Rattus norvegicus: one gene and its partner. Each later gene encodes a partner of the first gene's protein in a complex. Links are inferred from orthologs where the notes say so. Each region holds a gene or a part of one and is shown in the gene's direction. Other genes may lie near its edges.

The links.
Region 2: Gas8 (region 1) and Drc12 share a complex: the UniProt entries of both Homo sapiens proteins name them as parts of the nexin-dynein regulatory complex. The link is inferred for Rattus norvegicus from reciprocal best matches to the Homo sapiens genes DRC4 and DRC12.

What each region holds. Positions count from the first base shown.
Region 1 is NC_086037.1:68,478,157-68,481,401, forward strand, and holds the end of Gas8 (dynein regulatory complex subunit 4), read left to right. Parts: intron 1-625; coding exon of another isoform or gene 626-673; exon of another isoform or gene 674-1,474; intron 1,475-2,385; coding exon 2,386-2,535; 3' UTR 2,536-2,651; downstream 2,652-3,245. UniProt on the Homo sapiens protein: Component of the nexin-dynein regulatory complex (N-DRC), a key regulator of ciliary/flagellar motility which maintains the alignment and integrity of the distal axoneme and regulates microtubule sliding in motile axonemes.
Region 2 is NC_086026.1:53,477,388-53,481,711, forward strand, and holds the end of Drc12 (coiled-coil domain-containing protein 153), read left to right. Parts: intron 1-24; coding exon 25-117; intron 118-2,175; coding exon 2,176-2,306; intron 2,307-3,184; coding exon of another isoform or gene 3,185-3,190; exon of another isoform or gene 3,191-3,207; coding exon 3,208-3,336; 3' UTR 3,337-3,777; downstream 3,778-4,324. UniProt on the Homo sapiens protein: Component of the nexin-dynein regulatory complex (N-DRC), a key regulator of ciliary/flagellar motility which maintains the alignment and integrity of the distal axoneme and regulates microtubule sliding in motile axonemes.

The sequences.
Region 1 (3,245 bases):
CCTTTTCTCATACTCTTGTAATCTAAATAGCCCGATGCCCTTCCATGCTGAACGTGTGTGTCAGTGGCCTCCTGCCAGACCTCGGCTGCCGTCTGTCCCATGCACCTGAGAGGCCTGGGTGCTACATCCAGATGGTCCTAAGGGTCTACTGTCCTTCCTTTGCTCCCTGTCCGCCAAGGACATACCCACAGCAGCCACCTCACAGGTTACATTCTTAGTCCTGTTGGGCAGGCATTGCATTCCTGTTCAGTTCAGGGCCTCATCCAGACATGCATGCCATCCTGTTTGATTGCTAATAGAAGTGAGCAGCATCTGTTACTGTGGCCCAGGATCCATGCTATCCCAGCTGCCCCAGCTTCCCAGCTCTCCCTAGAGCCCAGGTTAGAGCTTCTCACACCTGATCCTCAGCTGACATGGGCTGAGCATAGGGCAGTCTGCTGTGTGTACCTTGGCTCTTGGGGGCCAAGGTCTGGACCTAGAGTGTTGGTAGCCAGCCCAGTCCTTGAAGCTCCCGCTGGAGCCCATTTTTACTTGGCCCTTTCTCTCCGTTTTCAAGCACTGCTTCTCTTCCCTGAGCCTCAGTGAGGATAACCAACCCTTTTCTTCTTCTCTGTTTGGTTTCCAGTCCGGGTTTCTCCGTGTAGCCCTGACTGTCCAGGAACTTGCTCTGTAGACCAGGCTAGCCTTGAACTCCAAGATCCACCTGCCTGCACCATCTCCTCCTGGCCCTTTTCTCTGGCTCTGTTTGAGACACAGACCCACTGTATGGCCCTGGTTAGCTTGGAAGTCACAGAGATCTGTCCATCTCTGCCTCCTGAGACTGGGATTAAAGGTGTGTGCTACACCCCCAGCTCAGGAACCCTTCTGCCGTCTGCTGTGAACATTTGGGTAGGCTCAAAGCATTTCTCATTCCACTCAATTCATCAACACCTCTGAGCCAGAGGCAGGCGGAGCTTGGGCTCAAGGGCAGCCTGTGCTGCAGAGTGAGGCCCTCTCTCAGACCAAGACTTCACAGCTACCTGATGAAAGGCTCCCAGTTAAAATGTGCATTTGGGGTTGTTGACATCAGTGGAGTTTTGTTCAGCATCCACATGGGGGAAGCTCACAGCTGCCTGTAACTTCTGCACCAAGGAGTCAGACTTTCTCTTCTGGCCTTTTAGGGCATCTGCACATAAGCTGTGCGTGCCTTCCCATACATGTGTGTAGTAACAATAAAAAGCACTAAACTACAAGGTGTGGTGGCATATCCCCTTTAATCCCACCTCTCAAGAGACAGGAGCAGGTGGATGGTGTTTAATTCTAGGCCAGCCTGGTGTATATAGCAAGTTCCAGGCCATCAAGGGCTATTTAGGGATCCTGCATAAAGAGGAGAAAAAACACCCATTTAACAAGGTGTGTACTGTAATCTTGTAATCTTAGCACTCACCCGGCCAAGACAGTAGTGACTTTAATCATTAAAAATTTTCTCACACTATATTTGGATGTTTTTCCTTTCCCAAAAGTCTTCCTACCTACCCCACCTCCAGCTGTATGCTCGCTCTCCTGCCCCCTTCTGTCTTTCTCTCTCTCAAAAACAAACAAACAAACAAAAAAAAAAAAACTCCACAAAAATGAAACAAAAAGTCAACAGAAACAAAACTGAAACCTTCTTTTGGTCACCACTCCTGAGCACAGGACGTGGCCTGGGGAGTGGTTCCAGAATCACTGCAGGGAAAAGTGAAGCAGTGAGATTTTGAGTGTGAGGCCATTCTGGGGATACAGCAAGTTCTAGCCCAGGCTACATAGTGGGGCCTTTTCCCACATAAAAACAAAACACCAAAAAACGAAAACAGGATTAAGATCAAGCTCCCTCAGTGTTGGGGATTTAGCTCAGTAGTAGAGTGCTTGCCTAGCAAGCACAAGGCCCTGGATTCAAAAAGAGAAAAGGGAAAAAAAAAAAAAAAAAAAAAAAAGAGCAAGCTCCCTCAGAGGAAGTCCCCTGTCTTTGTTGGCCACCAGCACCATTCCAGGGGCCCAACCCCCCCACCCCCACAAACACACACCATACCCCTGCGTGTCACTGGGGAGTTGGAGGGGATGTGGTCTCCAGGGACAGGGATTAGATGTCAGTCCATCTTGGCAGGGAAGGAGAGGAGAGCCTTAGGGAGAAATATTTGGGAAAGGGCCAGGAGCTCCGGTTCTCCTGAGTCTGGCCTTGTGAGTATGTGAGCTACAGGCATACGCAAGCGAGGCTCTAGACTACAGAAGGCACTGGCTATCCTAATTGGAGCTCTGTGGACCACCCTACACCTTCAGCAGACAGAGGGGACATTTGGGGTCCATAGCATGATGGCTGCGACTCCCAGGCCCAAGTGGACTCTTCTTGACCTTGCTCTGTCCTTGCAGGCCCACAACGACCTGTTGCGTACATATGAGGCAAAGTTATTGGCCTTCGGGATCCCCCTGGACAATGTGGGGTTCAAGCCCCTGGAGACAGCAGTGATTGGACAGACACTGGGACAGGGCCCTGCAGGACTTGTGGGTGCGCCGACATAGCCATCTACAGCAGCCTGCAGCTTGTCAGTTACTCTGCCCCTCTCCCCTGGGAATTCACACCCTGCACAAGTTTTGTTTTGAACACTTAACAAACACCAATGAAAGTTTTTGCATGATTACTTTCTGTGTTATCTCCTTGTGAAAAATTGTTTCCTCAAGCCCTCTGCTAGGGAGACGTTTGTCCACTTCCTGACACTTAGAGCCCTGGTGATACAACAGCCTCCAAACTCTGCACAAATTACACCAGCCAAACACACCTGAAACATTCCAGCCATCATAGGTACTTCTATTTGCATTGTGACCTTGGGCCAGCCAGTGAGTGCTAGCATTCACCACCTTTTGCACAAACCTCCTGGAAAGGTTCAGGGTGGTATGGACATAGACGAGAGCCCTCGCCAAAAATAAACAAGAGCCTGCTGCATTCCCTCAGCTGCCCACACCCCCCAGCCCAGCCAGCCCACCCAACACACCTTGAGCCCACAAGACCCAGAAAGCCCCGAATAACAAGGAACAGGGATATGTATAAAGAATCATGAGCAGAGGTGTCTCCTCATCCCAGAGCCCAGAGCCTACAGCCCAGACGACACAGAGCCCACACCTAAGAAAACAGCCTGCCCCTCGTCCCGTCCTGCCTTCCCCGCGCCCCTCACCCCTGCCCGAGCCCCACCCGCACGCCCCAGCCCGCGGGCTGCCTGCCTGCCTGCCTGCCT
Region 2 (4,324 bases), on another chromosome or scaffold:
TGCTGCCTACGGCTCCTACCTCAGAGATGAGCCGCCAGCGTCAAGCCCTGCAAAAGGAGCTGGGGACCCGAAGCAAGCGGCTGGAGGAGGAAGTGAGAGGTCTAAGGGAGCGGCTAGGTAGGTCCCCATCCTAGCCCCTTCTTTCCCAGGCTCAGTAACAAGGCCCAGCATGGACTAGTGGACCTCGAAGGCTCTCCTCTAGACGTCTACAGTCTGTTGGCTGAATTTTAACTCGAGTCACCGTCGCCCTAACTCTCCTCTGAACAAAAAGTTCAGTGCCACAAATCTCCCTGTTAGGGCTGGAGTTGGCCTCTCTGATAGTTGGCTCAGCAGTTAACAGTTAACAGCACTTGTTCTTAAAAAGAACCAGAAACCAATTCCCAGCACCCACTTGGTGGTTCACAACCATCCCATAACTGTAGCCTGAGGGAATCTAAGGTCCTCTTCTGACCTCCACAGACACCCACATGATGCACATACATGCACTCAAGTGAAGCACTCATACACACAAAATAACAAAATAAATAAATTTATTAAAGAAAAGGAAAGTTTTATAAAAGCCTCTAAGACAGAGGTAAAGAGAAGGTAAGTGTCACCACATTTCTCCCTTTGCTTAATCTCCCCAATTCCAGCAGTTAACCCCTTCACTGCTTTGTCTGTCCTAAGCAAAATATATTCCTTTTTAGTTTAGCCAACTTTTACAGCCAAACTACAGAAAATGTTAGACTTAATTTACTTCAGTATCCTCAAAGCCAAACACCTGGTAGAAAGCCTTAAATGTCTACTTGTTAAATCAACAAATTAAATCAATCAGAGAAGAAAACAGAGGTCAGAAGATGGCATCAGATCCCATGGAGCTACCAATGGTTCTGAGCCACCATGTGGGTGGTGTAAACCAAACCCAGGTCCTCAGCAAGAGCAGCAGCCGCCAGTGCTCTGAACTGCTGAGCCATTGCTCCAGGCCCCTCCTGAGTCTTCTCTTATTCCTCAAAAGCCCAAAGTGGCCTTGAACTCAGTAATCCTCCAGCCTCAGTCTTCTGAGTTGTAGGTTTTAGGCATGAGTCATCAGATTCCTATTTCAAAGTTTTCTTATCCTAAAATATCTTTGGTTTGGATATAAATATTCATGAGCTGCTTTATAAAGGCCAGGGACACCATCTCTAACTTTGACCCTCTTTTGAATTAAGTCAACATTTATTGAGCACCTTTTGTATACAGTGCTTTGTCATCCATTTTCACATTTAAGGTCACAGCAAACACAAGGAGCATATGTTATTTTCCCTCTAAAGATAAAGGAGCTGGAGAAAGGGTTCAATGGTTAAGAACGTTGCTGCTCTTCCTAAGGGCCTAGCTTTGATCCCAGCACCCACATGGTGACTGGAAAACATTATAATTCCAGTTTCAGGGGATCTGGTCTAATACCCTCTTCTGGTCTGGACTGCACAGGCAAATGCGCGCGCGCGCACACACACACACACACACACACACACACACACACACACAGAGACTGAGAGGCAGAGACAGAGACAGACAGAGAGGAAGATGTTTTAAAAACAGATATAAGGGGCTGGAGAGATGGCTCAGCGGTTAAGAGCACCCGACTGCTCTTCCAGAGGTCCTGAGTTCAATTCCCAGCAACCACATGGTGGCTCACAACCATCTGTAAAGAGATCTGATGCCCTCTTCTGGTGTATCTGAAGACAGCTACAGTGTACTTATATATAATAAATGAATAAATCTTATATTTAAAAAAAAAACAGATATAAAATTAAAAATAAATACATCTATAAAGATAAACTAAACACTGAACCATGCTAGGTGGTACAAGTCTGTGACACCAACCCTGAGAGGGAGAAGCAAAACAATATGGATCTCAAGGTTTTCCTTGGCTACATGGAGATTTTAAGGCCAGCCTGGGTCAAACATTTAAGACAGGGTGATTCAGAGAGCCTCGTCCCACACTAAGTAAAAAGCAGCAGACTTTGGCCCATCTGCTGTCTCAAGCCCTCCATGTACCCTGCCACCCCTCAGGGAGTCTATAGAGACCTCAGGAAAGCAATGACCCTGGAAGTCTCTAGTGGCCTCTGTGAAGCTGCCTCTTAGGCGCCTTCAGTTGCTGTTCTTGGTTTACAGTGTCACTGTCCTGTCTTCTCTTTCTCCCTGCCCGCTGCCTAGAAACATGCCAAAGGGAGGCCAAGACCGCAAGGGAAGAGGCTGAGCGAGCCCTCCGAGAGCAAGATGGAACCCTGACTGAGCTTCGCGCCCATGTGGCACACATGGAGGCCAAATATGAGGAGATCTTGCATGTAAGCACCACTACCTGTCAGCCGTCTCCTAATTCTCATAACCCTCCATCCCTTTGCCCCCAATTGATGTGATAACCCATGACCTAAGGGGGCCGTGCTCTGTCCTAAGTGTAAAGAGAAGGCATAACCGTTGACAGAGCAGTGACTTGTAATCCCAGAACCTGGGCAGCTAACACAGGGAGATTTTGAGCTACAAAGGCCAAGAGGCACTATAATGTACTATGCACCTGCTACACTGTGAGATCGAGACTCAAAATAATCAGGGGATTACGTCGTTATATGGTGTCAGGACTATACACCAAAATAGAGATATAGGTCGATATCTAGCCTAGTATGCAAGGCCATGAGTTCAATTCCAGGCACAGAACTAGGACCAGGGATAGGAAGAGGAGTGAGGAGAAGGAGCAGGGAAGAAAAGGAGTGCCGCAGTCTTGTAATCCTGCTATTCAGGAGAATGAGGCAGACAAGTCATAGGTTCAAGGCCAACCAAGCAAGGTACAAAGTTCAAGGCCAGCATAGGCAGTGTAGTAAGAGACTGTATCTCAAAATACAAATTAAAAGAGCTCTGGATACACAGCCCTGGGACAGGATACTTGTCTAGCATGTGTGAGGCCTGAGTGTTGGGGAGTTGGGGACAGCAGGCAGCAGCCAGGCATGATGGTTCACGTTTGAAATCTAATACTTGGGAAGATGAGGCAGGAGGTTTCTGAGTTCGAAGCTAGCCTGGACTACAAAGCAAAGTTATCTTACAAAAAGGAAGGAAGGGAGGGAGGGAGGGAGGGAGGGAGGGAGGGAGGGAGGGAGGGAGGGAAGTGAAGCACTCTTACTAATCAAGCCAGGCAACCTGAGGTGATGCACTCCTTCCCTCCCTCCCTGAGAGCTGAAAGCTTGCTGTTCACAGGACAACCTGAACTGTCTCTTGGCCAAGCTGAGAGCTGTCAAGCCTCAGTGGGATGCAGCCACGCTGAGGCTCCACACCAGACACAAGGAGCAGCTACGGCGATTTGGTCTCAACCCCCTGGATCTTTGAGGCCACTGGCCTCAAATCTCTAAATATCAATATCAATAAAGCAACCTGATGTAGAAGTCAATAGAACTGTAGATTGTGGCCTCTGGCAGTGAGGACATCTATTTTCTAGGTTAACCCATTGTCCCATTGTCCTAACCCCTGAGTGATAAGAAATAGACAATGTTCTAAACCCTTTCCTACAGAAACTAGATCCCATTCCCTATAGCCTGGAGTACCTTCAGTCCCTTCAAACTGCCTTGGCTTAAGTGGGCACGGTAGTGCATGCCTTTAATCCCCACACTTGGGAGGCAGGGGGATCTCTGAGTTTGAGGCCAGCCTGGTCTACAAAGCAAGTTTCAGGACAGCCAGGGCTATACGGAGAAACCCTGTCTTGAAAAACCGAAACAAAACAAAACAAAACTATTTTGGATTATCCTGACCAATAAAACACAAATCCAGATATCCAGATGTGTGTGTGTGTGTGTGTGTGTGCGTGCGCGTATACATTTATTTATTTATTTATTTATTTATTTATTTATTTATTTATTTATTTATTTGAACAGTAGCATACTTGTACTAAAGTGCTCATATAGATGTCAGAGGACAACCTCCAGGAGGTTCTACTGTATGGTTCTAGTGAGTGAACTCGGGTTGTCAGACTTAGAAGACAGCAGCTTTACCTACTCACCGGCCAACTGGAAAAGGCTACAACAGGACATTACAATAGCCAAGAACCAGCTCCCAAGATTCCTAGGTATCAGTAGAAGGAACATATGGCTCCAGTCCTTCTGCCACATGACAACAGCATCACGTGTCCCCTAGCTTCAGTCCTAAGTGGTTCCACAGCCTCATCTTCTTGAACAGAACTTCATCTTTGGGGCACAGCTCCCCAAAACTTCTGCATAACATCCTGTGGAGTCTCAGGCTCCCTTACTAGCCGGCCTGAGGTCTCCGTCTACACCCCTGTGCTGGAGGTAGGCTCATGAGAAAGAGGAAGGTCCCTGCAGTC